Arabidopsis thaliana: one gene and its partner. The protein of the gene in region 1 interacts with the protein of each later gene in a pairwise test. Each region holds a gene or a part of one and is shown on either strand. Other genes may lie near its edges. The genes, in order: PUP3 and GLR2.9.

Region 1 (14,851 bases):
CTTTAATTTATTATTTTTTAAGACCACTGATATTAAACATATCAAATCATCCAAATTTAGAAAAGATTATATAAAACCAAAAATGTTATGTGGTATGTATAATGTTACTATATATAAAATTAAATTATAAAATATAAATGTATTAGAGAATGATACAATTTGCAAAACTTTTATATATAAAAAATAATTCTTAAAATTTTAAAATTACTACTTTAAAATTATCACGGGACGGGTAAAGAAATTACAGAACAGATTTTATTTTGGAATTGGGTTATATGGTGGATGTATTTGAATCAATATTTAAAAAATTTTAAAATATTATTAATATGCTGTTTTAATAGGGGTTAAAACTTCAGTTTTTTAACAATTGTCTCATTGATTCGTGATATAGCGTTACTTAACAACAATTATAAACTGTAAAATGTAAATATTTTATAAAAATAAAATTTGCAACTTTTAATATATATTACTTTTACAAAATAAATCGTTCCGCGGTATACCGCGGGTTAAAATCTAATTTGTTGATGTATTTAGTATCCTAGCGGGTAGAAACCTTGTTAAATATAGTGGTGTAGAAACCATAAATTGAATCACTTCTTTCAAGCCAACGACTGACTACGCGAGTTCAACAATGGAGCTATAAAAACAAAACAACTAGTTGCAACAAATAATAATCAAGTCTACAAACAAAATAGCTTAAGTCAGCATTCCATGTATTAAAGCATATGACAAAATGATTGATTACAATAGTCCGTAAACGAAGACAAATGGATACTAAAGATAAATTTCTAATCAAGATAACTTTTCTATAACAATATCCTCATCTAAAGATAAAACCAAGTATAAAGATATTTCTCTTAAATCACGTCTGTTTTTTCTTCTCGAAATTTTGTTTTCTTGCTTTTTATACACACAACGAAAATTTAGCGTAACACAGAGAGACGATTTGTTTTTTTCTATCTCCACAATTCAACTCTTTCTTTTGTCATACTCAATGTATGTAGAGCAGAAAATAACACGTCTCTTTTTTTATCACGATAAAACAAAGGACCATCCTTAGTTGGAAATTCAAACCCTAGTAGTAAGTATAACGTTTTAAAATCGCAAACGCGCCCGCTATGTTATGTCCCACCGTTTTAATTTCCCAACTTCCTTGACAATGTATCACACGATCCAAAACCACAAACAAACAAAACACACACAAAATGAAAAACATATAATTGCTCATTGACCCCTCAAGCTGATGAGAAATATCATCAAAAAGGCCAAAACAGAGGACAACAAAAACAGCAAGCAGCAAGAAGAAGATGAAGAATGGTTTGATAATCATAAACTGTATTATCCTCACTATAGGAACATGTGGAGGTCCTTTGTTAACTCGTCTCTACTTCACCAATGGCGGAAAACGAATCTGGTTCATGAGCTTCCTATCAACCGCTGGTTTTCCAATCATCCTCATCCCTCTCTTGGTCTCCTTCCTCAGCCGTCGCCGCAGCAACCGCAACCCTAACAACGCGGAAAACAAGCGGAAAACAAAGCTCTTCCTCATGGAAACTCCTCTGTTTATCGCCTCCATTGTCATAGGGTTGCTCACAGGACTTGACAACTACTTATATTCTTACGGATTAGCATATCTGCCAGTTTCAACTTCATCGCTCATAATCGGAACTCAACTAGCTTTCAACGCTCTCTTCGCTTTCTTGTTAGTCAAGCAAAAGTTCACTCCGTTCTCCATAAACGCCGTCGTTTTGTTGACGGTTGGTATCGGGATCCTTGCGTTACACAGTGATGGAGACAAACCGGCTAAGGAGAGCAAGAAAGAGTATGTGGTTGGGTTCTTGATGACTGTGGTTGCAGCTCTTCTCTATGCTTTTATATTACCGCTCGTTGAGCTAACTTACAAGAAAGCTCGTCAAGAAATCACTTTCCCACTTGTGCTTGAGATTCAGATGGTCATGTGCCTTGCTGCTACTTTTTTCTGTGTCATTGGCATGTTCATCGTTGGAGATTTTAAGGTAAGAAATTTACAGTTTTTTTCACGTTGTGTTTTTAGTATAAGAGAGAGTATCATGGGATGATCTTGATAAAAAAAATATTATGCAGATTTTGATGAAGACTTTAGCTGAGTTTTTGGATTCTCTATTTTTAATGTTTTTCTAAATTATATAGTTTTTTTGTTCATTTTATGATAGAGGCCAAAATTTAGTCTGGATTCCCAAGAAATGAGGAATACTAAGATTTGTTCTTTTGTATTATTAATGGAGAAAATCCATGGAAACAATTATATATATAGAAATTATTTCAGAATCATTGGTACTAGACTATACTAGTCAACCAAGATATATTGGTATCTGTATTTAAACATTTTCTAAATACATATGGATATTATAGAATATTTAACAATTTTAATATAGATTTCCTGGTTATAATAAAATATGTGATTTTATGTAATATTTGTCTTCCTGATCTTTTATTAAAAACAAATATTATATAAAATACAAGATAAAGGTTTGAGCAATTTATAAAATATTTAACAATTTCAATAAGGTTTTATGTAATACTAGGTAATCACCCGCGCTACGCTGCGGTATTTTCAGATTTTTTGTATCGTATAATTTAAATATAATTTTTAATTATCTAATCATTTACTTATGTAATAAGTAATTATTCTTAGTATTAAAATATATTTTTTCTAACAACATTCTCAACAATGCATTATACACACAATTCCTAAACAATGTTCATCTTAAACTAATTAAATAGAGGGTAATACTGGAATTCTCGAAACCTAAGAATTTGATGATTAAATTTCTTACATACTCTTCACCCTCGGCGATTTATTATATAGATATATAACAATATGCAAACTATTCAAACTATTAACTAATCCATGACTACTATACACTCATAATTTGAGTTAAGATTACAGAAAAAAATCTTCTGAGTATGAGAAAACCAATAAAATTATTTTATTGAACAACATGTAATAACAAAATAAATTTAGTATTAGTACAATTAAATATGTAAAATTAAATAATAAATACATCATTAATCTATAAATTAAAAGTTGAAAGCTTACATTAATTATTATGTGGACACATGGCACATGTTAAAGTGATGATGTGTCAATCATATGGAGAGAGTTGGCCAACTTTCATATATATGATTTGTCTTCCTTATCTTTTATTAGAAACATTATTTAAAAATTGTTCAAACCTTTATCCTGTATTTCCATATCTATTTAAAATTATGATTAAACTTGAGAATCAACTAAAATCATCATCATACATGTTTTGTAGGTGATAGCAAGAGAAGCAAGAGAGTTCAAGATTGGAGGATCAGTGTTTTACTATGCATTGATAGTGATCACAGGAATAATATGGCAAGGTTTCTTCTTAGGAGCCATAGGGATTGTGTTTTGTGCATCATCACTAGCTTCTGGTGTTCTGATAAGTGTTCTGCTTCCGGTGACTGAAGTTTTCGCCGTCGTTTGTTTCCGGGAGAAGTTTCAGGCAGAGAAAGGTGTCTCTCTACTTCTTTCTCTTTGGGGATTTGTCTCTTACTTCTACGGCGAGTTTAAATCCGGCAAGAAAGTTGTTGATAAACCTCAACCGCCGGAGACAGAACTGCCTATTCTTCCTGTTAGTGATTATGTTGCTTAATTTCTATAACTCTATAGGATTATAACAGAGCATTACTGTTATGTTTTGTTCCTAATATTATGTGTGATTGTGTGTTTTGTTATTGTTCTTGTGTATAAGTATGAATAAATTTGAAAGATATTGAGCTATTTGATAAATGCAAATTTTAATACACTTGTAGTAGAAATAGAATGATAATGATAAGTAAAAGATAGGATATTTCGTATTTGATAAAATCACATCCTATTTATCGATTTTATAAAATAAACATTTCACACTTTTAATTTAAGATTAATATAATTTATCTATTTAATATAAAAATTTGTATATAAATCAAAGAACTAATATAGAAAGAAGAAGAGAAAACAAAAGAGATAGAGTCAAAGAACCAATTAACCATCCTTAAAATCTTCTAATTATAGAGAGAATTATGAACTGAAAATCTTAATGTCATTGCACTAAATTTAGAAAGAAATAAATCCAATAATCAAAACTGTAGAATTTGATGGAAACGTAAATTAATATGAGAGATATGATATTATCTGGTCTATAAGATAATTACTACGTTTTTTATACGAAATTAAACAGTTAGCAAAATTTATGGGTATAAAATAGGAAAAGTCATGTTTTAGCCATTGAAGCCTCGTTAGGTAAAAAGAAACACAAAGATCTATCACGACAGAATCTAAAACCGGACCAAATTTGTTCCAAAACACAGCAACACCAAACCTTATAACTAACTCCTTCGACCACCAACCTTCATTATCCACAAGAAATCAGACAAGAATGGTGAAGGCTCTTGTGATCATAAACTGCATAATTCTAGCCATAGGAAACTGTGGAGGTCCTTTGATTATGCGTCTCTACTTCAACAATGGCGGTAAAAGGATTTGGTTCTCTACGTTTCTTGAAACTGCAGGCTTTCCTGTTATCTTCATTCCTCTGCTCTTCTCTTACATTACCCGGCGCAGAAGCAACAATGTGGGTGATAGTACAAGTTTCTTTCTTATCAAACCGCGTCTTCTTATCGCCGCTGTTATTGTAGGCATTCTCTCAGGGTTTGATAACTACTTGTATGCATATGGTATAGCTTATCTTCCAGTTTCTACAGCTGCTCTTATCATTGCTTCACAGTTAGCTTTTATAGCTATCTTCTCATTCTTCATGGTTAAACATAAGTTCACTCCTTTTACCATCAATGCTGTTGTGTTGTTGACTGTTGGTGCTGCGGTTTTGGGAATGCATACCGAAACTGATAAGCCAGTTCATGAGACTCACAAGCAGTACATAACTGGTTTCTTGATTACTGTAGCAGCAGCTGTTATGTATGCTTTCATCTTGCCATTAGTGGAACTTGCTTACCAGAAAGCTAAGCAAACCATGAGCTATACCCTTGTGCTCGAGTTCCAGTTGATTTTGTGTCTCCTTGCTTCTATTGTCAGCGTCATCGGTATGTTCATCGCTGGTGATTTCAAGGTTAGTCACTCTTTTGAATCTGAAAACATACAAAAGAGTTTTTAACAGAGACTTGAGCCCTTTACTGTTTTTGCAGGCCTTACCAAAAGAAGCAAGAGAGTTCAAGCTTGGAGAGGCATTGTTCTATGTGGTGGCTGTGTTTTCAGCCATCATATGGCAAGGCTTCTTCTTGGGAGCCATTGGATTAATCTTCTCCACATCGTCTCTCGTCTCGGGTATTATGATATCAGTGCTTTTGCCAATTACAGAGGTTTTAGCTGTTATATTCTACCATGAAAAGTTTCAAGCTGAGAAGGGACTTTCTCTTGCTCTCTCCCTTTGGGGCTTTGTCTCTTACTTTTATGGTGAGATAAAGTCTGGCGAGGATAAAAGGAGAATTCAGCAGGAGGAGAGTCAGGAGACAGAACAATCTTCTTTGTCAAGACCCATAAGTGAGTGTTAAAACTCAACGAAGCATGGCTTTTCGTTTAAAGACATCATAGCACTCATTTCTCCGCCAAGTAGATTAGAAGATATGTTTGAGAAACTTGTGGGATTATGCCGAAAACACAATCTTAAAGGACTTTTTTTTTTCTTTTCTTTATTTCAGCTTAACTTGTTTGATGTCTCTTATTATTCACATCAAATGAGTTTGTAATAGAATTATGAGGTCAAACAATGACACTCTCTGTTATGCTGGTGAGCTTTTTGTTCTACCAGCAATAGATGAAATTAGTCTTCATTTGTCTTCTGTTGAATGCTTTTATCTTTCATCTCTCGTGGTGGCTTCATCCCATTAACCTGCTCAACAATAGCGCCAGCAGCACCATTAACGAGAAGTCGCGGATGATCTGAGGACCCGTTAGATTCCACCTGTAAGTTCAACCAGTAGAGAGCTTCTGGTAAAGCCTGTTTGGTTCATATTCATGATTCTTCATTACTATAAGGAACAATCGCTAGTGAGGAAATAACATTCAGTTGAATCAAAATGTAAAGAAAAAGCCCCAACAGACATTTTGGCTTTCTTACACTGTTTCCCTTAGAGCTTCTAGTTATTTCTTATAAGAGAACCTAGGTATCTCATTTTTCAATTATGTCTTGTTGTTATCTACATATCCGCCTTTTCTAACTCTTATTTCTAAGCAGGCCTAGAAAATGTACCAGTAATGTATAAGCATCACTAATTCTTCTATTGTAACCAACTACATTCCTTTGAGGTGAATTATACCAGATGTCCATTTACGTCTAACCATCTAATATTACACACAATATGCTGTTATAAACACAATAATAAAATTTACTTACCAACTTCCTTCAGCAGAGTCGCTCAACTCATTGTTGATTTCTTCCTTTGCAAACTCTTCCAGTATAGCACGCTGACGTTCATTCACTTCACTAGTAGATACAAGGAAAAAAGTAAACCGCATAAGCATATACCAGAAATCTATCAATATTAGCTCTTGACGGAAATGAAAAGAAGAGAATCCAACACATCCACATGCCACCAGAACATCAAGAAGCTTATGTAATCAGATTTAATAATCAGACGGCAGGGAAATTAACACAATGTTGTCCTAGGAAAATTATTTCAAAAACCGTAACTTTAGAGCAACAAAGTGTCTTTTCCATTCTAAACACTAGTAGAGTTTTTAGCATAGCATAATGTGGATGTCTCCAACAAGTGTATTACTTGAACTTCAAGTAAAAGAAATCTTACGTAGGAAAGTTAACGCGGAAGCGAACATACTGATCTCCATGATCTACAAAAAAGCCTTGCTTCGGTAGTCCTGCAGGAACTAACCTATTAAGAAGAGTACACGCAAATACACAAAAAAAATTGAACATATAGGCTGATAATTATATGTACCTTTGCCTCTTAAAACAAGAAGTTGATCAGGCTGAGTCCCCTTTGGTATCTGCAACAATTACAATAAGGTACCTCTATTATCTCCAAAGCCTTGAGATCTAACCTTCCTCTTGGTCAGAGGATGAAAACCAACTTGACTCAAATTATAAACAAACAAAATATTATATGAATCTCACTGGGAGACGAATCTTACATCTAGCTGTATCTTGCCTGAAAGTGTTGGCACCACAACTTTGCCCCCCAAAATAGCCTGTCAAATAAGTTTTCTAAGACATGTCCAGTATGGCTCAAGGGAGAAATAGTAGGAACAACGTGAACCATAAGAGATGAAAGGATGCACTATAATAGAAAAATACTGCAGCCGAGGTACTATGGCTTGGTGGCAAAATAGTGCAGTAGCATGCACTTGAGTTTTATGACTGGGGCCATCAAATTGAGTTTGAACCGATATGCCACATTATCTAGTTTAGAGAATAAGCGCATCATATACATAATGATAAAGATGCTACTAGCTAATATTATTAAACCTAGTAGTTTAGTAAACTTTTGGCACATAAACCAGTTGAATAGGACAAAACTCATTAATTTTCAGCTAGACTCCAGATAACTTTTCTCTAGTTTATGTCCTCTAAGAGGTTTTATTTTATCATAGGACATGCCTAAATTATGTTACTGCAGAGCTTTATCAGCTAGCAGTTAAGGCTTTTGAGTTTTGACCACAAAGTGTCACCATGCAGAAAAAACATGAGTTTCGAAGGTACTGCTCTGCTTATAACCCAAAATTCAGGATTCACCAGTGTGCTTACTTGTGTAAAGCTAATATTAGCATCCACATATATATCTGAGCCATCCCTAGTGAAAGTTGAATCATTAGCAACCTGTGACCAAAAGAAGATTAGATACGTGTCAATAAAGGAAAATTCAGCATGCAGTAAGACCCTAAATGAGGCAAGAATGATGATAGAATTGAAGAATACTTTACAAGAGAGCATGAACAATTGATTCACTGGATGTAATAAGTCTTGATTATATAGTGACGCAACAAACAAAGTAGAGTAGCAATCACATATAAATCTGTGAACATTGGTTTAGATCATTTTTGAAATGAATTCGTTCAAAGTCAATATATGACTTATAACATGACTTTGCCACTTATATTAACTGTTTTATCTCTTAGGTTAAATTGATCAATGGACTTAAATGGTAGACCAATCATCAACGTCAAGGGTGAGTTTGATTCAAACTTCTCTAGGCACGTCTTACAAAATATACAAGTACAAATTTGAAGAAAATACAGATGCTTTAACAAACCTTTAGTTTGATATACAAGTTCCCAGGTTGACTTGTTCTTGAACTTACATTACCAGCACCTACGATTGTGATTGTAGCTTCAGACTCCACCCCTGTGGTCAAGTACAGAGAGAAGAAAGCAAATTAAAGTTTGACAGAATTTTGTCATCAAAAACCTATTTCACTATCTAATCCACCAAAGTCATGTAAGATGATAATCGGAAATCACAATCCCAAATTCATTGTTTCATCTTTGCCCCAAAATACCAAGCACAGAATTAACCAGAAAATGTAAATTGCCAAGCATAATCTTAGAAAAGAAAAAGAAAAGCCAGTCAAACAATAAGTGTGACCGATATCTAAATTGGATTACATCTAAACCACACAAATCCTCAAAGAAAGGAACGTAACAGAGTGAATGAAATCTTGCTACTCGTTCCATAGCAGACAGACATGTTTGGAATCAAAACCAAGTTAAAGATAAACAAAAGCATGAAGATTTAGACTAACCTCCAGGGATCACAAGTTCAGCTGTCTTTGTGCCTTCCACAATACCTGATCCTCTACAAGACATGCAGTATTCCTGAAGAAATAAACACATATATACTCGTAACCAGTGCCAGAGAGATAACTACTGAAGCGTCAATAAAGTAGCTCTTTTTCTCAAACCTTAATAATGTGTCCCGTCCCCTTGCACGTCTGGCATGATGCTGTAAAAGGAGGAATAGTTACCTGTTAAAGAGACAGACAGCATAGTACTGTAAATAGAAATTGTATGATTTATTAACCCTCCAAAGAAAATAAAACTTATATCCTCTAAATGGTACTTACTCGTCCAACCCCCCTGCATGTTGGACAAATGCTCATGGCAGCATCGCTAGGGTGGCCAAGCCCATCTGTAAAATGATAAACAATGCGAGATTGGGATTCATGGTTTTGCAACAATATTACTTTCACCCAACTGAGTTTACTCGTCCTCTCAAAGTTGGCTGAATCAGTAACTTTTTAAAGACAGAAGGCTGTAAATGTTACAAGAATAAAATTAAAAAAAGAAAAAAAAAAAAGAGACAACAAACTGTAGATACATGTACATTAACATCGATGGATCACAGAGCCATTTCCAGAAGTCTATTCTTCGTTAAGAAAAATATTTTACCATTTTGGGCAACTGAATAATAATGTACCATGACGAGTTAGGACTCCTAATTTAAAGTGTCTATACTCTCAAGTATCTTTACAGGAAATCTTGCGAGCCATGACTGGCTTGTCAATATTAGTAAATGCAAAAGAGACAATATAAGAAAACTTCTGTGGCCACTCACCACAGGAATCACAAAAGACATATGCATCAAAAGACAAACGTTTTGTGCACCCTTCTGCAGCTTCGGAAAGAGAAAGCGACAGTTCCACCTATTCAATTTTTAACAATATAAACATGTGTATTACTGAAGAGCCCTACACAACAAGATTTATATAAGTCAACCAGATTCCAGTTGTATAAATAAAAGAGAGAATCAGAGAAACTGACCCGAATATCAGGTTTTATCTGATTGTTCTCAAATATCTGAATAAAGTTTACTAATGTTAGAGATTTAACTAATCACATAAAAAGATGAGCAAAAGGGAAACATAATAATGTACCTCAGAAAAAATCTTGTGGAAAGTATCCGAGAAATTGGACTGGTATGCACGTCTGAACCTCTCTGAATCACCACCGTCATTATTTACATAATCCGAATTCCGATACTGCAGCTGGATCGAGTGATAACATCAAGAAATATATTTAGTGATCTCGCCACCAGATAAATAAGAATAAAAACAACAAAAAAGCGTACCTTATCATATTCTTCTCTTCTTTCCGAATTTCCCAGGGTCTACAGTTTTTTAATCCAACACAAAAGTATATCAGAAGATACATTCAAAATACACAGATGATGGCAGATGGAAAAGAAAAAACTACCTCATATGCCTCTCTTATTTCCTGGAACTTCCTTTTTGCTGACGGATTATTTCTATTTGTATCAGGGTGGAATTTTTTCGCAAGCTGCAACAATTGTGCATTCACTCATCAATTTTGAGCAGACAACTTTTACTAATAGTTTTTGCTTGATGTAAAAAAATGTTTAAAGCTGAAGAACAGTCCACTAACAATGAGCCGAAAGACTCACCTCATGAAATGATTTTTTAATCTCCTCCCGTGTAGCTTTAGGAGAAACACCGAGAACATCATAGTAATTACGAGCACTGGAGTTGTTTATACCTGAGAACCATTATCCAAAACCAAAAGCATTTAATGAATAAAATGATACAAAACATCATTTTATTCATTAGCGTGAATGCAAAAAAACAAGACCTGTAGCGTGAATGTATCGCTCGAACAACGGCTTCTGAGACCCTGCAAAGAGTCAAAACTTCCAAGTAATGAATGCATATTTCCTATAGTCTGTAGATAAACACAAACATCAACTGGAAATTCCCTCATGCCCCTAATGTTAGCTACCACGGAGACCTCGAGATTACATTTCGATTCTTTAAAATCAACTCTTGAGTTACCTTTAATAGTGCCCAATACTTTGATACCCCTTCCTGATAAACCCTAAAACCCCATTTCAGCTAAAATTATCACTACATTAGAAATTCTAATAAACCCCAAAAAACTTGACATTGTCGTTGGTCTGTTGCATATACACCTAAATCAGCTCAGAGAAGGCGATAAACCTCGAAGAGCATATGAATGTCAGTTTTTGATTCCTTTTTGAAACAAGCAAAAATTGACGAAATCAATAACCCTAGTTTAACAACTTTTATACATTACCTTGACGCAATCCGATCGCGGAATCAAAAGTTCTTCGAGCTTGTACATGCCGCAGAACCTACGATATAAACATAAATTACAAAATGATTTCAGCTCTCTCGAGGACTCAATTTCAAAATTGAAAGGAAGAAGAAGAAAACGATGAAGCTAAATCTAGAGAGGGATGAAGAAAACAAACCCAGTTGAATCTTCGCATGACTCTTGTGAATTCAAAGCTAAACAGAGAGGAAAAAACGGAGAGGTTTTTGATTTTGAGAGTTAAACCCTTAGACCATTTCCATGATAAATTCCAAACAAACATAAATCAAAAATATTAAAATAATAATTTTTTAATCAGTTTTTTTTAGAATATTTTCTGAAATGAGAAACTTGGAGAAATTTTATCTCTCTTCCAAATGTCATCTTGTCATTAATTTCTTTTCTTTGTTATAAATAAAATCATTTATATTTTATAACATCAATTAAATACTTTATATGTTTATTTTTTTTTTTTTTTTTACTTTTAAAATTCATAAAATTAAATTATCTATATAACAAGCTCTATTATATATATGTTTAAATTATATACGAATATTATTTAATTGGTGTTAGTTAAGCATTAAACATAATAATAACTTATAAATACAATAGTTTTTTTTTAATTAGAAAACAAACATTTAAAATTTTCTATTTTTATTTTACAACATTTTTGGCAATCGAATTCGACTTCGTGATAGAGATATGCACCAACAACTAAAAGATGACCTAGTTGAGCATATATGACAAAAGTTTGGTGCATTATCAAATGAAGAGTAAAACCATAATAGATAATATAGTTAGTTTTGATTTATGTTATCATGGTTTTATATGTAATTTCTGTGTAATTTATATATTTTTTCTATTTAATTTATGTTATCATGGTTTTATATGGAATTTTATGTTTAATTGATATATTTTTTATTATGATTTTATATGTAAAGTAATGTTTAATTATGTTTAATTATGTTTAATTATGGTTTTAAAAATAATAAAACTATTTAATAATATAATTGTAAAAATAATAATTGATATGTTTGAAAATATTGTAGAGATTTTAAATTTAATATAAAAAACATATAATAATATGTTAATGTTAATGAGATACTCATAAGAGTATTTCACCAATGGAAGCACAATTTTAGTATAAGTTTCTCTACTTAAATTAAAATATTAATAATATATTATGAGGTACTCATGGAGTATCTCACCAATGGAGATGCTCTTACGCATATGCTGACGAGAGACGAGAGAAGAGACGTTCGCTAAATCTTTTGCTTTCTCGCCACTACGTCCAGAGTCTCTCTCTGGTTCAGAAGACTCGAAATGGGTTAAACACGTATTCTCTCATTCTCCGTAGTTAATTAATTTAGTGAAACGGTAAAAACAAAATGGTAAAAAATTGGCGGTCGTTATTTTGTAGCGGTAAAGAAAATAGTGAGTTAGACTATTTACAAGTTAACTGTTTGAATTAAAAGTTGAAAGTGATTTGGAAAAAGATGTTGTAGAATTTCTTCAACACCGTTAATTTTGTGAATAAAATCCTTGTACACATATAGTCTTAGAAAATTTGGAAAAAGGTTTGATAAATGTAACTTAGATGCTGCTTGGATTATAAAAAGTAAGCTTTATGGATACGGACTTGAGTTCCCAAGATCATTTAGGTTCAATCTGATTTTGAGGTTTATATAAGAAGCTTCATTTAAACCGTTGAGTGTTTGAGCTATATGAAACTTCAAAAAAATGTCATTCGTTTAAATACCATCAAGAAGAATGTGAATCAACTTTTCTTTTTGGATGAAAACTAGTTTTTTGATATGGTAACTATGTTTTCAACACAACAAAATTTTATCGTCGAATGTCCGAAATGATAAAGACACTCTTAACCTTCATCGGAAAAAATAGCAATTTTTTGTGGTATATCAATAGCGGTTACAATCTAACTTGTTTTGTTGTTGTTATTATGATTAGAACTGTCAATTGGGTGGACCGCATGTGGGTTTTTACAGTCCAAATACACACGGACGGATTATGGTCTGGACTCCAAACTAAAAAACATAAACCAAGCAATCAAAAAGTTAGAATAAGATATTTTTTAGTTAAAACAAAAATCGTAAGTGAAGAAGGTCTGAATTTCTTGAGGAAGATAAACGGGCACAAAACCGGTGTACATACATGGATTATGGATATGTTCTAGAGGAAAGGTATAATTGAATACTAGTATCCGTTACAGAAACTAATTGCATTAAGTTTCGTCTACTGTTTAAGACCGCACGAGATATATATGTTAGACCGACTTTGGGAAAGAGGCTACTTAAATTATTTACGATTAATAATGCCAACGTAACGCGGACAGACATTTTAATTCAATTATTATTTGTTGCCTGCGAGATTCGAACCATCTCTTATTTCATTACTTAACCCAAACCAAAAAAATAAAAAGTTCATTTCGAAAGAAGAAGAAGAAAACATCAAATCATGAGTGGGCAAGAGAATCATGATCATGGCCGGATCTCTTCTACGCCCGCCGCCGCGTCGGAGCCTTCCAAGGCTGCTGCTCACTCCTCTGACTACGCTCCTTACCCTAAGCTCGATCCTACCGACGTCACTCCTCCTCCTCCTCAGCCTATTCCCACCGGTGCCGCCGCAACCACCATGCCAGCGGAATCCAATCCTTACGTTTCTCCTTCCCCTGCCCCAAGGAGTGAGTTCTTCTTCTCTCTATCCGATTTCGCATCCTAATCCAATTTCTGCCTTTGATTGATTGATTGATCTTGGTTTGGGGACAGATACGATGGATTCGGTGAAGGATACGTTAGGGAAATGGGGGAAAATGGCTGCCGACGCCACCAAGAAGGCGGAGGATCTCGCCGGAAATTTTTGGCAGCACTGTAAGCGCTTCTTCTTCTTCTTCTTCTTCCCCCTCGATTAGATGAATTACCAATTAATCTGATTACCGTCTCTTGGAGAATACGATGGTATTGGTTATGCCCCTTCTGGTTAAGTTAGTGTTCATCAATTGGCGCTTCTTCGGAATTTTACTTCGCGTTCAACCACCGACACTAAATCTAGCCAACAATTTTGATATTCATGCTCTTCCGTTTGAGTTTAAGCCAATTAGTTCTTTGTATCTGGTTATTGCCTTTGACTCTTGAAGCTTCTCTAGTATAGGTTGTTTTGGCTTTATTTCTCCGCTTGTGTGATGAATTAGTATTATATACATATGGTTGGAGGGAGGGATGATATTTTATATGAATTGAGACTTGAGAGTATACGTTTTGATATCTATCCTTTCTTTTTCAGTGAAAACAGGCCCAAGTGTAGCAGATGCTGCTGTTTCACGAATTGCTCAGGGGACAAAAATACTTGCAGAGGGTGGATACGAGAAGGTCTTCAAGCAAACATTTGATTGCCTTCCTGATGAAAAACTTCTCAAGACCTATGCTTGCTACTTGTCTACATCTGCTGGTCCTGTCCTGGGAGTTATGTATCTTTCGACTCACAAGCTTGCGTTCTCTAGTGACAATCCTCTCTCTTACAAAGAGGGTGAGCAGACCCTGTGGAGCTATTACAAGGTATACTCGCTCTCTATCCTATGGTTACTTTTTCTTTCTAACTCTTTTATTTTATATCTATTTACATCTAAGAAAACTATTTGAGAACAAAGATTCAGCGAATGTAATATTTGATGGTGACATGATAAAGCGTTAAGTGAGTTAAGTCATTTTCAATGCATCTATTTACATAGATTCATAGACTATAACAAAT
Region 2 (17,693 bases), on another chromosome or scaffold:
CTTTGAGATAAATGGGATCCACTGAAAATGTTGTATGGTTGAGTTCTCTTGTCAGCAAGAAAAAATCTAGCAAAGTTAAATTCTTTTCTTTTGTTTAGAAAATATTACCACTTCCATTAGTTAAACAAATACTACGTTTGAGTTTTTCCATTTTTGTTTTATGATGATGAATCTTTTCTCTGTACGATGTGATAGTCAATTACTTTTACGTATTTTGTGTATACACAATGACGATAGAAGATAATACAAAAAATCTTTGCAATAGAAAACAATTGATAACATGATGATTAAGAAAACGATTAAATAATTAATAGTTTCTATAACGAATGGATTAAAAAGAATATTTGACGATCTTTTACCTTTATAAAATGCAAGGTTTTAAATAAAATTTACTCTGGTCACCAAAAACCTTATTTTCTAAACTATTTTTGAAAACTTCATCATATCTTGGACCTTGGTAAATTAAATACTTTAAACTAACGTTATCTTTAGTCAATGAATCACTTAAAATTGACGTATATGGTCGTTCGTTGTGGTGAAAGGGCTGCGTAGTGGATAAGTTGGAGAAGGATCTTTAAAATATAAATCAAATGACATTTGAAGATTAAAATAAAAATAACTTAGTCCGTGACATCCCTAGAAATCCACGTACGCATATACGAACCTCAGATCACTGCAAAATGCAGTAGCCGCTTCGCTGGAACTCCTCAGTTATTCACACTTCAACGTTTCCTCTTCCTTAAGAAACTTCCCTTCGTTTTTTAAAAGTCTTAATATTATTCGTATAATCATCTATTCATCTTTGGTCGGTGATCGCATAATGATGAAATTTTCTTAAGTTATCGTCGTCAGTCTTTTTTCTTTTTCTGTTTCTTTTTGGGTTTGATATTAAGTCTTATGTATATTGTTATAAGAATATAAATGTTCTTACTTTTATTTGTAGACATCTCTGTTCTGATGTTACTTGCTTCACAAACTTTAATTAATAGAAGTGCGTTTGATGTATCTTCTTTCAAATATTGAGTAGGCAAGCACTGAAAGATGAATTCTATATAAATCTATAATAACAATTTAATAAATAAAATCGTATTAATTTTCATGGAAGAATCTATAATTTTTTTTTGGTAAATAATCATCTATAACTTCTTAATGTAGTTTTGTAAAACATCTATCTCTATTGTTCAACTCGACATTCAATATCAGATTCTCCATCTTCATGATGTATTATCGGTTGCGTAGTGAAGCGTTCTTCGCTCGGGCTAAATGACACTCTTCTTAGCTCAAACTCTCTGTTTTGTGATGGGCTTTGTGGCCATGGTGTGATTTGCACAGTTGAAGGGCTCGGAGTCTTGTGAGTCATAGGTGAACTTATATTATGAATGGCACTGTTCTTGAAAGTATGCGAATTCATGTCTTTCTCATCGAAGATTTTGAACAAGAACTTTAGCTTTCTCCACAAGGAATCCTCGGAATCATCACCTAGAGTGTGCCTATGTTCGTACAAGAAAAGAGCCACGAAGACGAGTAATGAAAAAGATATAGCAGTGCCTGCTATTAGAAATAGACCCAAGAAGCTACTGAGGTTGAGACGGTTGGACGAAAGAGCGGTCATTGGATCAGGACAATCATTCTTTTTCGGGAACCATCTGTCCTCGATTTGTTGCGTTACATTGTTTTGTGTCAGATTCAAGATAGCCCTTGAGAATTCTCCCGTCAAAGGTGAATTCTTCGGGAATGCCTACACATTGATCATGGAAACAAAACATGTGTTATTTGTCCCCTTATTTTGTAAAAATACATAGAAAGGAAACAGAAGGTACTTACAAAGCCAAAACCACCAGTCTTAAATGTAGGTTCAACCATGACATATTTAGAGCAGGATTGAGAAAGGATAGCCTTAAGGTAAGCAACTTCGTCGAAAGCTGCTGCGATACCTTTTGATTTCCCCTTGGACAAAAGGTCGTCGGCATCTTTGGCAGAATCAAAAGGCTTTAGCTGATCTTCATGAAATCCTAGCCCTAATAGAATATCTTTAACGAAAGCACCACCTTGGTACCCTACACAATCCCTATTTTTGATGAGATCGTTTACATTTGTGACCGTCGGTTGCAAACTTTGTACCGTGAGGAAAGAGGTGAGACTCGCTGTGTAGCTCTGAGTGAGAACAAGCACTACAAAACACCAGACAACCACCACAAACCTTGCTAAATTGCTCACTACATTCTCACCTATATACACATGCACAAGTTTTCACTTTATCATTACAATCATAAAATAAGTTGAGATATCTAAAAAATATTGACAATGTAATTATGTTTGGAGATAAAAGCTACAAAACGTAAATATTTATCATTATTAGATTCTTGATTGGTGTAAGAACTTACGGTGGGCAAAAACCATGGTGGAGAAGGAGAACCATAAACTAGTGCCGATCTGGTACTGAGGCGGTCCACGGAAGTCGGTGTTGACTCTGTGTTCGAATAGCCACACAACAAAACCAATGAAGACGAAGAAACAACCGGTGGTGACCCATAGCTCTAAGCTCCAAGGTTCGAGGAACACCCATGTGTCCTTATTCTCATTATCTCTCACCGGCACCATCATAGACACTCCTGACTCTGTGAACGGTAACGTGAAGTCAGCGTACAAAGATCTGTTCGCTGTGATGGTTATATCTCCAACAACTGCATCCCATGTCTGCTTCATATATTAGTATAATGTGTTATAAATCTAACATCTAAAAGACATAAAATTAGGGAAATGGTTTACAATATGATTTTGTGAATGTTTAGAATTTTTTGTTTGTAAGTAGAAAAAAAGAAACTAACCTTGTCATATACTTGGTAGACCAAATTGTTGTAGTTATTTGGAGACTCAAAACTGACGTACTCAGGAATGACTAAATATGGCAATTCCTTAAGAGCAGCTTCAAAGATTTCTATGGCATAACCGGTTGGGGTCTTTTTGTTAGTGATCGGATTTATGGTTACCTTAACAAAATCAAAGAAGCCTTTCTTCATTGGAACGCCCACTCTAAGCTTCTTCCCTGGAATCTCCCATCCTTTTGGAACAATTTTTGACTTCCCTGGCCATATCACTGGCCCCAACGTTTTTTTGTTTGAACTTGTTGCATCCATGAGTCCATCTCTTGGTGTCCAAAATCCAATAATCCTCTCTTCATTTCCGACAAAATTTATGATCTCAAACTTTGGTGACTGGAGCTGCCCGTCTATGAGTTTAAACTCTCCTGCCAAACCATTGAATCTTACCTCCGAGAAAGCCTTTTGAAGACTTGGACCATAGAGAGAGACCCCTACGTTCCCCAAATCTGTCCTATTTTTTGACAAGGTGCTCCCATTATCATACCATAAGCTCTTTGTGTTGGCTTTCTCCACAGCCTTAGCCAATGCAGTAATTGAATCATATGCCCATAATGCAAAAACGTTTAGATCATCTCTCATCGATGGATTCTCCTTCTCAAATGTTCTTTTCCATCTCAAACGGAAATCTCCGAGCTCTTTCGATTTGGGGACATGGCTCCTCACACCTAACACGCCCTCTATAGTATTTAAGCTACGACCATTGTTTATATGTCTCATCATATGCGTCATTCCATTGGTCATTAACCATACATACCCTTCCTCCATCATCCCGATATCCCTAGCTATCTGAAAAACCCGTAAAGCGAGACTTGATTCCATGTGGACAACAAATACTCTCGCTTGCCTCTCCATGAGCTTACGAAGTTCTTTCTGAATCTCATCATCGATAGCCTCCGGAGGGATCACACTTCTCTTGACTTCCACGTCTTGTAAAGCGTCAAACAAGAAAGGCATGAATCCTTCACCAAACTCGTTGTCCACATAAATTGCGACGACCCTTCTCCACCTAAAGAATTTGAAAATGGACGCAATGGCCCTGACCTGGGATGAGTCGTCGATAGTGGCTCTGACGAAGTAAGGGCTTTTGATGGATGTCAAAAGAGGGCTTGTTGCAGAGAATGTGATGGTCGGTACTTGAGTTTTGTTGGCCAGTTTGATCATAAAATCTGCTTGCATAGAGTTTATTGGTCCGATGATGGCGCTCACTTGCTCGGTTTTGATTAGGTCCAAGGCTGCTTGCACCACAAGCAACATAAAGAAAAGAAGAAAGGTTAAATATCCTCTGTTTTTGGATATAATATCTTCCATTTTCAATGGAAGAGTTACAACTTATAAGGCTAAGCCATGTTTGTCGAGTCCAAAAGAGCTCTAGTTGCAAAGTAATAAGACAATATTAATTTACATAAATAGTTAAAATTGTAGAGGTATCATAAGACATGTCACCAATAGTTTTCGACTATTCATCTAATATATTAAGACTCATGAGTTAAATATAATTAACGAGACTAATAGTAATCAGGATTTCTGCGACCATACAACCGTCACCATGAATTTCTAGAAGAGAAAAAAATTGGACTTCTCTATCAAGAGATTGCTCTTACCATAGACATTAGACCACATAAGAATACACTTGGTTTTTGAAGTATAGTCTAAAAGATAAATCGTCACCAAGACTCTTAGCATATACCCCCATATGATACTTTGATTTTTAATACTGATCTAAAATATTGGTCACATTCAATAAAATAGTAATTAGCTAAACCATGTCTATACGTAATATGTTTCATTCAACCGCAACTAATAAGTAATAAATCAAAATGACGGGAAGCTGAAGCAAGACATAGAGAAGTAACGAACCTGCAGCTGAAGCCTGAACAGTATCTTCCATGGAATCTCTAACGTGAAGCGTAAGTCTTGTGAGGTAATTTGGATGATCCGCGTAGAAATCGGACACGGCCATCTTTATAGAAGTGAGGCAGATCTTGGAAAATGTTGTATTGAGATCAAGAACTACTCCTACTTTGATTTCACTTGTTTGGTTTTGTCCTAAACCAACCCCCATCAACAAAAAACCGCAAACAAAGTAACTCAAAAAGGTGTTATTAGTTTTCATCATCATAATCGCCCCAAAACTGAGGAGACTTTATGTGATTCTTTAACTTACTTTTTTCCTGTTATATATATACAGTGGAAGGATCGGTTTGAAAGATACTTATAATCAATGAAAGACTTTGAAATACTATGCCAAAAATTGGTTTCTCAACGAAAGAGACATATCGATTTTTTTTTAAAAAAAAGTGTGTTGACTAGAAATTAATAAAACTGGTTTGAAAGAGTCAAATGAGGCTTTTGCAGATGAATTCTCTTTGAAAAGCAAACTACAAAATACCCATAACTTATTAAATAACCAAATCGTCTATTTTATAAAATATAAGGATCGCAATTCTTTCTTTTTTTTACTTTTAGTATTGTAATTGACATATTATAATATCATAATTGAAATAATTAAGAGTTAATTGTGCAAAATAAGATTCTTAACCCTTTTTGAGATCTATTTTTGAGGATAGCCTTTCTGAAGAAAAAAACTAATGTTTTATACATCCATCCCATGCTAATGCACGAGATAAATACTATTGTAAGCTTTTCTTATATAAAAAGAATATATACATTTTATCCAGATTTAATGGTAAATTTAAATATTATAATTTTTTAATAATTGTTTTGGCCAACTTTAAGAATTTTCAAATGTGTTTTGCAATAGGAATTACAATAATCGAAATAGGTTAGAGGTAATATTTGGAAATATATGTGTTTTAAAGAGAATAAGAATAAGCAAAAATGTGTTTGGGAAATGTAATAGGATTAAATTAAAAAAAATGGTTGAGAATAATTATATGCTTGCACACAAAAACACTAAAAATAGCTTATATATGTAGATATGTCCATACAATTAACGCAAAAAAATGCAATGAACCGTTTTTAAAGAATTCTTAGAAATAAAATGTATCAAAAATTGTCGTACTACTATAAAATAAATAAATGTTTTATAGAAGAGTGTATCTTGTAGATATGTGTACTTTGGTGGAATTAGCATACAGAAATTAAAAAATATAGGGTAAGTGAAGTGAGTTTCCCTCCAAGATTTTTAATTTTATTTTTTACGAGCAGTCGGAAATTAACGGAATTTTCTTAGTTTGGATTTATTCAGATTTAGTTTGTTCAACTATGCCATACACAATATGATTGTCCGTTGTAGAACAACATTCTCTTACGCATGTTCGAGAATAGGTCAAGAAGACGTATAATATGGGCAAATCGAAAACAAATATTCGTCAACATTATTTTTTCCAAAACAATGAAAATACATTAATCCTAAATTACAGTACATGATTTTGGATATAACTGAAGAATCTACATTTACGTGGGTGATGACGACATAAACAATTTTTTATGGTTGATATACAATAGTCTAATTTCTTAAAATTCTGTTGTGTTGAAGAATTGATTAAATTGAAATGCATTTGGTCCGATTTAAGTCATTAAAGGGTAACTGGAGGACGTTGAGTTGTTTAGCTTGGGTTATAAAGCTAAAAAAGTCTCCAATTCGAAGAGAGGGTTTCGCTAAAGGACAACCACTTCGTGAAAGGCAGTGATTGCTTTTACATAACTATGTGTACCTTTATCTTTCTTCCTCTGTTACGCTTCTTCTTGCTTGAGATTGTGATATTGTAGAGCTATGAGCATTTGCAAATAATGATATAGTAAATTATTGGATCTTTTGGCCGAGATGTAAGAATCACGCATGGTGGATGGATCATGAATGACCAGAGCCCTCTTTCACGACCCTGGTTGGGAATGGATGCGAATAGTTATCCTCGTTTATTTGGAACTAGGAACTTTCCTTAAAGTCACTTGCCACTATGTACATATGAAGTTTTTAGAGTTGCTATATTTTTGCAATGCAATCCTATTAATATAAACTTTGTTATAAATAAAAGAATAATAGCTTTGTTAGGAATATATGCAGCGAACTTAGCTTATCCTATCTATAACTTGTTATGGAATCTTCTAAACTTATCTCTATTGTTCAACAACACATTCAATATCAGATTCTTCATCTTCAAAATGTATAGTTTGCGTAGTTAACCGTTCTTCATTCGGGGTAAATGACACTCTTCTTAGTTCAAACGCCCTGTCTTGTGATGGGCTATGTGGCCGTGGTGCGATTTGCAAAGTTGAAGGGCTCGGAATGTACTGAGTCATAGGTGAACTCACATGATGAACAGCGCTGCTCTTGAAAGTATGCGACTTTATGTCTTTCTCATCGAAGTTTCTGAATAAAGACGTTAGCTTACGCCATATCGAATCTTCGGAATCATCACATAGTGTATGCCTATTTTCGTACAAGAAAAGAAACACGAAGATGAGTAGTGCCAAGAATGAAGCAATGCCTGCTATTAGAAACAGACCCCAAAAGCTACGAAGGCTTAGACGGTTCGACGAAAGAGCGGTCTTTGGATCAGGACAATCATTTTGTTTCATGAACCATTTGTTCTCGATGTGTTGCATTTCATCTCCTTGAGTCACATTTAAGATAGCCTTTGAGACATCTCCTGTCAAAGGTGAATTCCTGGGGAATGCCTACACATTGATCAAGGAAACAAGCAATGAATACTCGAACTGTCTTTTTTTTTTTTTCCTAGTTTGAAATTTTCATATATAAGGGAAAAAAAAAAGAAACTTACAAAGCCAAAACCAGCAGTCTTAAATGTAGGCTCAACAATGGCATATTTGGAGCAGTATTGAGAAAGGATAGCCCTAAGGTAAGCAACTTCGTCGAAAGCTGCTGATATACTACCATTGGACAAAAGCGCGTGACATTCTTCGGAAGACCCAAAAGGCTTGAGCTTAGAAACATTAAATCCCTCTTTTATTAGAAAATCTTTAACAAAAGCCCCGTGTTGATAGCCTACATAGTCCCCATTTTTTATGAGATCTTTCACATTTATGGCCGCTGGTTGAAAACGTTGCACCGTCAAGAAAGAGGTGAGATTTGCTGTGTAGCTCTGAGTGAGCACAAGCACCACAAAGCACCATACAACCACCACAAACCTTGCTAAGTTGCTCACTACCTTCTCACCTATATGCACACACACAAATTACTTCATCATTAGGATCTTGATTCTTGTTAATAAAAAAATTATCACATTGAAAATAAGTTGACATTTAATATATAAACAATGTAACAATAGTCTCATTTTACATAATATAGTTTTCAAAAGAAAGTTAACATTTATCATTATTGGTGTAAGAACTTACGGTGGGCAAAAACCATGGTGGAGAAAGAGAACCAAAAACTAGTGCCGATCTGGTGGTGAGGCGGTCCACGGAAGTCGGTGTTGACTCTATGTTCGAACAACCACACAACAAAACCAATGAGGACGAAGAAACAAGCAGTGGTGACCCATAAGTCTAAGCCCCAAGGTTTGAGGAACACCCATGTGTTCTTATTCTCGTTGTCTCTCACCGGCACCATCATAGACACTCCTGACTCTGTGTATGGTAAGGTAAAGTCAGCATACAAAGATCTGTACGCTGTGATGGTTACATCTCCAACAACTGCATCCAAAGTCTGTTTCATTTTTAATAATTTGTTAGAGATCTAATATATTATAAAAAGACATAATCTATTATATCTAAGACTAGTTCAGTCTACTCATTGCTAACTGCTTTTACATAGAATTGCTTGCACTTTTAGATTTTATTTAAGAAAAACAAGAAACTAACCCCGTTATCGACTTTATAGACCAAGTCATCGTAGTCATCATCCGGAGACTCGAAACGGTAGTATTGTGGAATGACTGAATATGGTAACTTCTTAAGAGCAGCTTCAAAGATGTCTATGGCGTAACCCTTTGGAGTTGTTATGTTAGTGATAGGATCCGTGATTACCTCCACAAAGTTGAAGAAGCCTTTCTTTACTGGAACACCCACTTTAATCTTCTTACCATTAGTTGGAATCTCCCATCCTTTAGGAACAATAGTAGACTTCCCTGGCCATATCAATGGCCCAAACCTCTCCCCTGTAAATGACGTTGTTTTGTTTGAATTTACATTCACAAGTCCATTGCTCGGTGTCCAAAATCCGACAATTCTCTCTTCATTTCCGACAAAATTTATGATCTCAAACTTTGGTGACTCGAGCTGCCTGTCTATGAGATTAAACCTTCCTGCCAGACCATTGAATCTTATTTCCGAGAGAGCCTCTAGAAGACTTGGACCATAGCGAGAGACGTGTAGCGTCCCCAAATCTGTCATGTTATTTGACGAGCCACTCGCATTATTATACGGAAAGCTGCTTATGTTGGTTTTCTCCACGGCCATGGCCAATGCAGTGGTTGAATCATACGCCCATAATCCAAAAATGCTAAGATCATCCCTCAGCCATGGATTCTCCTTCTTGAAATTTCTTTTCCATCTCAAACGGAAATCTTCGAGCCCTTTCGATTTGGGGACATGGCTCCTCACACCTAACACGCCATCTATAGTATTTAAGCTACGACCATGATGGATATGTCTCATCATATGAGTCATTCCATTGGTCATTAACCATACATACCCTTCCTCCATCATCCCAATCTCTGTAGCTTTCTCAAAAATCCGTGAAGCAAGACGTGATGCCATGTGGACAACGAAAACCCTAGTCTGCCTCGTCATGAGCTTATAAAGTTCTTTTAGAATCTGGTCATCGTTAGCCTCCGAGGGGATCACACTTCTATCAACTTGCACGTCTTGTAAAGCGTCAAACAAGTAAGGCATGATTCCTTCACCTAACTCGTTGTCCACATAAATGGCGACGACACTTCTCCATCCAAAGGATTCAAATATGGCTGCAATGGCTTTGACCTGGTATGAGTCATCGATAGTGCCTCGGACGAAGTAATCGCTTTTGATGGATGTTAAAAGAGGGCTTGTTGCTGAGAATGAGATGGTCGGTACTTGAGTTTTGTTGGCCAGTTTGATCATAAACTTTGCCTGCATAGAGTCTATTGGTCCGATGATGGCACTCACTTGCTCGTTCTGGATTAGGTCCAAGGCTGCTTGCACCACAAGCAAACCAAAGAAAAAAAACATGTTAGTATTTCACTAAATGTAACAGCAGTAGTTTAATATTTGATGATAATTAATGAGACAATAATAATTTGCACAAGAATTCAAATCTTCATTGTATAGGTATCACATGACATGTTACCAATAGTCATTGACTAGTTATTATTCTAATATACTATAATAACTCATGAATTAAATATTTTAAAGAGGCTACTAGGAATAGTAGTAAGACTTTCTAGAAAATAAAGAAAATGAAGAGATTGCTCTTACCAAAGACGATCCTACGTAATATATTTCATCCGACTGCAACTAATAATTAATAAATCCAAATGATCCCTTACAAGTAGCGGAGAAGCAAAAGACATAAAAGTAACAAACCTGCAGCTGAAGCCTGCACAGTGTCTTTCATGGAATCTCTAACGTGAAGCGCAAGTCTTGTGCGGTAATTAGGATGGTCTTTATAGAAATCAGACAACGCCAGGTTAATAGAAGTGAGACAGATCTTCGAAAATGTTGTATTGAGATCAAGAACTACTCCTACTTTGATTTCACTTATTTGGTTTTGTCCTAAACCAACCTCGAGCAACAAAAACAAACAAACAAAGTAGCTCAGAAAGGTGTTATTGTTTTTTTTAGGGTTCATCATTATCCAAAGATAAGGAGACAGACAAGTTATGTGGTTCTCTAAAACTTCCCTTTTTCTGTTATAAATACAGAGGAAATAAATAGGTTTGAAAAGGTCTTGGAAGACTTTACAATGCTATAACAAAATTGGTACTCATCAAGAAAAGAGTGATAAAATAATAAAGATTAGTGTTGACTAGAAAAAAATAAAAAATGGTTTGATTTAGTCATGAGACATTGCCGAAGATGTTTCTCGGCAAAGCAAGGCTACAAAATTTCTATTATACGAGTTATATAACTACCTTAATCATTGAGGTACATGGTTCGTGATGATTCAAGTTAAAATTTGTACTTCAGTTGGAAAGATTGCCTAACAATTCCGTTATGAAGGCTAACTCTGTCTTGAAACTTCACAATGTGTTTTTCTTTCTTTTAAGTGCAAGAGTAATTTAAAAAAATATATTATTTTATCATATTATTAGTGCAAGGATATTTGTATTAAAACAAATTTCGTTTGTTCAACGCGTTTTTGGGTATGCCATATTTCACATCAAACACAATGTATTGGCTGTTGGAGGACCACATTTTCTTACACGTCTCGGAGACATGAAGACGTATAATGTGGGCAGATCCAAAACAAATGTTAGTTTTGTCAACATTTGGTTTTTCCAAAACAATGAGATCGAGAAAGACATCCATGTCAAAAGATTAATAGTTTTTTGTGTTATTTTGCAGATTATAAAATTTTGCGTTATTTTCATAATCTCCCTAATTTTTATATAACTCAAAAAGGAAGAAGATTAGAATCCAAATTCAGAAATCTAACTATGACATTGAGTTTGAAAACAAACATAGGAATACAAGTGTTGAGAAAAGAAAGTACTCCTAAAAGAAAGCATTAACCACACTGGCTAACTTGTTATGCACTTTAGCAACTTCTCTCTATCATTCACCTTCACATTGAATTATAGCAGATTCCTCATCTTCAACTTGTTCTGATTGCGTAGTGAAAAGTTCACCGCTCGAGATGGAAGACACTCTTCTTAGCTCTAATTCCCTATACTGTTCCGGACTTCGCGGCAATGGAGTGCTCTGATCGGTCAAAGGGCTTGAACTTCCTTGAGTAATAGGTGAACTCACATTATGAACGGCATTCTCCTTGAACATATGCGACTTTATGTCTTTCTCATCAAAGTTTCTAACCAAAAATTTTAGCTTTCCACGGAAAGAATTTTCGGAGTCATCAAAGAGCGTGTGCTTGTGTTCGTACAAGAAGTTGGCCACGAAGATGAGAAGTGCCAAGAATGAAGCTATGCCTGCTATAAGAAACAGACCCCAGAAGCTACTCAGGCTGAGATGGTTGGAGGACAGAGAAGTGTTTAGATCTGGACAATTATTTGGTTTCTTAAACCATTTATTCTCAATATGTTGCATTTCTTCGCCTTGTGTCACATTCAAGATCGCCCTTGAGACATCATCCGTCAAAGGTGATTTTTTGGGGAATACCTACACAACGATCATGGAAGAAGAAAATCAAAGCAATGAAAATACCTATATCATCAATATACGTACTTCTTTGGCTGTATCTAGTGTAAGGGTAAAAGAACTTACAAAGCCAAAACCAGCAGTCTTAAAGGATGGTTCAACCATAGTATATTTGGAGGAATTCTGAGAAAGGATAACTTTAATGTAGGCCACTTCGTCAAAAGATGCTGTGATTGTCCCATTGGAAAAAAGCTCGTCACATTCTACGGCAGAACCAAAAGGTTTGAGCTGTGATTCATCAAATCCTTGACTTTTCAAAAGTTCACGCACGAAAGTGCCCCGTTGGTACCCAATATTTTTGTTAAATTTTATGAGATCTTTCCAATTTGTAACCGTTGGTTGCAACAGTTTTACTGTGAAGAAAGATGTGAGATTCGCTGTATAGCTCTGAATCAGCACAAGCACCACGAAGCACCACACCAACACCACAAACCTCGCTAAATTACTCACCACCTTCTCACCTATACACGCAAACAAGTTGTAAGTATATCATTATTATCTTGTTTCTTATTTTGGAACATCTTATTGATAATAATTTGAGATACAATATCTACTATATAAAAACCGTATTTAGAGTTCTTTCATCATCTGCCAATTTTTGTAACATAAAGTCGGAAATCTTGCCGGTTAAAAGTTTCTATAGTGACCAAGGTTGAACTTTAATGATGATCATAGAAGATGGGACTCGTTTCCTAGCGGTATCCCACAAAGAAGAATAAACTAAGACTCGAACAAATACCACTAGGCTATTCCGACTTAGTTCTTGATTGATGTTACTTACGGTGGGCAAAGTTCATAGTGGAGAAAGCGAACCAAAAACTGGTGCCTATTTGGTGGTGAGGCGGTCCGCGAAAGTCGGTGTTGACTCTATGTTCTAAAATCCACACGATAAACCCAATGAATACGAAAAAGCAAGCAGTGGTGACCCATAGGTCTAAGCTCCAAGGTCTGAGGAACACCCATGTGTTCTTGTTGTCCTTGAGGGGTACCATCATAGACACTCCAGACTCTGTGTACGGTAGCGTGAAATCGACATACAATGACCTGTTTGCTACTATGGTTACATCTCCCACAACTGCGTCATAGGCCTGACCCGAATGTTAATGATATGTTAGAAATCACATATAAAGAAAAAAGACATGATCCACGGTGAAAGTTAAAGTAAAAGTAAAAGAACCATAGTAGAAATAGACGAACTAACCCCGGTGTATACTTGGTATACCATTTCATCATAGTTCTCATCTGGAGACAAGAAAGCAATATATTTAGGAATGACGGAGTAAGGCAACTTCTTAAGAACAGCTTCGAATATCTCAATACAGTAACCCGTTGGGGTCATTGCGTTACTGATCGGATCTATCTTTGCATCCACAAATTCTAAGAAGCCTTTCTTCACTGGAATGCCCACTCTAAGCATCTTTCCGTTTGTTGGAATCTGCCAACCTTTCGGAACATCTTTCGACTTACCGGGCCATATCACCGGCCCCAACCTCTCCCCTAAAACCGACGTAGTGTTTTTTGACTTTGCATTAACAATTCCATTGCTTGGTCTCCATAATCCAATAATTCTCTCTTCACTTCCAATAATATTGATGACGTCAAACACTGATGATTCTAGCTGCCCGTTAATGAGCTCAAACTCTCCGGCTAAACCATTGAATCTTACATTCGAAAGAGCCTTAAGAAGACTTGGACCGTAGCGAGAGACCCCTAATGTCCCCAAATTTGTCTTATTATTTCCTGAAGCGATCGGATGATCATACCGCAAGCTCTTTATATTGGTTTTCTCCACGGCCATTGCTAAGGCAGTGATCGAATCATATGCCCTTAACGCAAAAATGTTCATCTCTTCATCATTCCCCTTCTTAGGAAACATTTTTTCCCATCTCAATCTGAAATTTTTGAGCTTCTTCGATTTGGGGATATGGCTCCTTACACCCAAAACCCCTTGCATATTCTCCAAGCTGCTACCGCGTTCATTAGATTTCAACAAATTCATCACTCCATCTGTCAATAACCATACATATCCTTCCTCCATCATACCAATCTCTCTAGCTTTCTGAAAAAAACGAAAACCGAGAGTTGGTGGCATGTGGACAACGAATACCCTCGTCTGCATCGTCATTAGCTTATAAAGCTCCTTGAGAATTTGATCATCATTAGCCTCCTGAGGGATCAAACATCTATTGACTACAAAAGCTTGCACGTCTTGTAAAGCGTCAGTCAATAATGGCAATATTCCTTCTCCGAATTCGTTGTCCACATAAATGGCAACTACATTTCTCCACCCGAAGGATTTGACAATGGCCGCAATGGCTTTGACCTGGGATGAGTCATCGAGAGTGGCTCGGACAAAGTAAGGGCTGTTGATGGATGTCAGAAGAGGGCATGTTGCAGAGAATGTGATGGTCGGTACTTGTGATTTATCGGCGAGTCTTATCATGAACTCAGCTTGCATAGAGGTTCTTGGCCCGATGATGGCGCTCACTTGCTCGTTCTTGATTAGGTCCAAGGCTGCTTGCACCACAAGCAAACAAATAGAATAAGAAAATTATAGAGGTTAAATTTATCACTAAATAGTAAATTAAAATTTATCAGATTTTTGGGAACTAATGAGTGAATTAAAATTATCATACAAATAATGTTTACGCATGAGTTAAAATGAAAATATCAAATGTGTCTTACTCTATATTTAGCACTTTATTATGGTTTATTATTTTATAAAAATATTGCAAAATTTAATTTGAAAAGATGCTACTTTGTAACCTATTTTCCGTCCAAAATCATTAATCACACTATCAACGTAATGTTAAAAGTTAATTGTATTTTACTACCACATCCATATGCTACGGAAAGTCATATCTTATTTTTTCTATTTTAGTTTTAAACTTTTAATAAACAATAATATATCAAATTATCGAATTAAACTATTCAGGAAATCAATAATTGATTAATCTTTTAGTGTGAGACCCTCATTTCACCACCCACTGTTAGAGTCCGTTCGCCACTTGACATATAACCCAGTAGCACCAAAATCCTTATCCGTCATACATAAATGTCAAACAACCAAACAAAAAAAGTGACAAGAATTGCTTCAAATTAGTAGAAAACAAATTTCTACCAAACCATAGATTTGTAGCAAATTTGGGGAAAATAATAATTACCATGTTCATCATTAATTATTTAGTTTGTTTTAAAATAAATAGTTAGGAATTGATTACCGGCATAAATTCATAGCTACTGAAACGTTTTATTTTGTTAAATTAGATATTGTAGTTGCTTGTCTGAACCCAATAAGGTTGATAATAGCTATGCATATATGGCTACTATATATGGAAATAGCCTAAATTTTGAAGCCATGGAAAAGATTGGTCAGACTAAAAGAAAATAGTAGCCCTTAGATATTAAATCATGTCTGGCCAAACGCTGTATTATATTCGTAATTAAGTAGAGCGTACATGTTTCATCCAACAATCAACATAAACTGATAATAAATCCAAATAAAGATGCAAGAGACAGAGAAGGAACGAACCTGCAGATGAGGCCTGGACAACATCTTCCATGGAATCTCTAATGTGAATCGCAAGTCTCGTGGTGTAATCAGAATGATATTTGTAGAAATCGGACAACGATATGTTAATGGAAGTGAGGCAGAGCTTGGAAAATGAAGTATGGAGATCAAGCACTACTCCTACTTTGATTTCAGTTGTTTGGTTTTGTCCTAAACAACCCTCCATCAACACAAAACCACAAACGAACAGGACAAAGTAATACATAAAGGTATTATTAGTTTTTCTAGGGTTCATCACTTTCATCCAGATTGAGGAACTTTATGTCATTCTTTAACTTCCTCTTCTTTTTTATTGTTCTATTGCATATATACACACACACACATACATATATATATATACATATATAGAGATAAAATAAAATATGAAAACAAGAATGTAAAAGAAAACAAACGAAGTTAAGGTTTGAAAGTGACAGAAAAAAATTGTATGGACGATAATATGAGCTCGCTTTTTGTCATTATTCTCTACCATTGTCACTCCTTTTTTTTAGGCTACATACGTTTACTTTGAAAAATCTCCAACTTCAGTCTTCTTACTTGTTTGACGGAAGATTAATATTTTTCTTCCAGCTAGCAAGACCGTTTCATACACATAAAAGGTCATAATCGAGTGATTTTACGCTAGTGAATATCCTACTAAGAGAGAGAGAGAAAGAAAATGCCAATTGTAAGTTGATGGATCATCTCAGAAAATGTAACACGAACCAAAAACCTTTTTGGAAAATTACTATATTATTTTTTTTGTAGTGAAAATTTTATTATTAACAAATGTCTAAAATTTGCTTAATAGGTTCTGACCGGATCGACGAGATAAACCGGGTTACAACCCGGTTGCAATTTGGATCAAAGCTAAAAAGAGATGGCTTCGGTTGTGTCATGGACGACGATGGTGATCGGAGAGGGGCTTTGGTGGTGTTGGGGCCGAAGGTGGAGGTCGAAGAAGCTTCTGTCCGTTTTTAAGAGAGGTTTCTAGATGAGTTTCTTTTCTGCGATAGATTGACATATGTATACGAAAATCAGCCATAAATCTCTACCAATAGCTCACATACCCATGAAACATCACCTCCATTGGAAATCTATTTCAATTTCCTATAACCATTATAAAGAGGTCCAAAGCTAAATCTCAATGAAAGAACTTCATCCGAGTCGATCTTTGAGAGACTTCAGATAGGTTATGAATCATCAATTCTCTTCTTTGCATTTAAATGTGTGTCCTCCATTATTTTAACATGAAATATCTCAAAAGAGACACAAAATACACACAGTAACTATAGGACTTCTAAAATGCAAGAAGACTCACTTGGACACTAAATGCAACAAACCACAATGAAAATACTAATGAAACACCATAAAATGGATCTTAATAACCATGATAAAGTGCTAAATATAGAGTATATCATGGGTTATATATAGATTTGAGAAGAGACTAACACACAAAAATATGAAAATAAGTCAGTAAAATTAGCTAAGTAATCAAAATGCTTCAACAACTTTTGAAATTCTATTTATCATTTAGCTATACATTCTAATTGGGGAGTGAAAAATTCTTTGCTTTCAAAAGATACACATCTTGGCTCAAACTGCATATTTTGCGACGGACTTCGTGGTCATGGTGTGATCTGCACTGTTGAAGGTCTTGGAGTGGTTTGACTAAAAGGTGAACTCACATTATGAATTGCACTCTCCTTGAACATGTGCGATTTTCTGTCGTTTTCATCAAAGTTTCTAAGCAAAAATGTTAGCTTTCTGGAAAAGGAAATTTTCGATTCCTCATTTAGCGTGTGCCTATGTTCGTACAAGAAGTTGGCTATGAAGACGAGATGTGCCATGACTGAAGCAAGGCCTGCTATTAAAAACAGACCCCAGAAGCTATTAAGGTTGAGACGGTGGGACGACAATGTTGTCTGTATGAGGACAATTTTGATTCTCAAACCAAATCTTTTCGAGCTGTTTCATCTCTT

Evidence for each region.
Region 2: the proteins of PUP3 (region 1) and GLR2.9 interact in a protein complementation assay, tested with the Arabidopsis thaliana proteins (one large-scale study listed by BioGRID).

Annotation. Positions count from the first base shown.
Region 1 is NC_003070.9:9,851,011-9,865,861, reverse strand, and holds PUP3 (purine permease 3), read left to right. Parts: upstream 1-4,293; 5' UTR 4,294-4,427; coding exon 4,428-5,117; intron 5,118-5,193; coding exon 5,194-5,559; 3' UTR 5,560-5,571; downstream 5,572-14,851. Other genes in the region: PUP1 (purine permease 1), read left to right, coding at 1,308-2,015, 3,300-3,662; ATJ1 (DNAJ heat shock family protein), read right to left, coding at 5,885-5,969, 6,402-6,491, 6,814-6,883, 6,964-7,012, 7,157-7,213, 7,770-7,841, 8,275-8,366, 8,764-8,836 and 11 more; FIP1 (FH interacting protein 1), read left to right, coding at 13,562-13,787, 13,873-13,974, 14,387-14,658. UniProt on the Arabidopsis thaliana protein: May be involved in transport of purine derivatives during pollen germination and tube elongation.
Region 2 is NC_003071.7:12,499,918-12,517,610, forward strand, and holds GLR2.9 (glutamate receptor 2.9), read right to left. Parts: upstream 5,028-17,693; 5' UTR 5,002-5,027; coding exon 4,740-5,001; intron 4,115-4,739; coding exon 2,829-4,114; intron 2,698-2,828; coding exon 2,385-2,697; intron 2,229-2,384; coding exon 1,825-2,228; intron 1,739-1,824; coding exon 1,175-1,738; downstream 1-1,174. Other genes in the region: GLR2.8 (glutamate receptor 2.8), read right to left, coding at 6,963-7,523, 7,628-8,022, 8,202-8,514, 8,670-9,979, 10,371-10,638; GLR2.7 (glutamate receptor 2.7), read right to left, coding at 11,562-12,122, 12,228-12,622, 12,943-13,249, 13,363-14,675, 15,694-15,976. UniProt on the Arabidopsis thaliana protein: Glutamate-gated receptor that probably acts as a non-selective cation channel. May be involved in light-signal transduction and calcium homeostasis via the regulation of calcium influx into cells.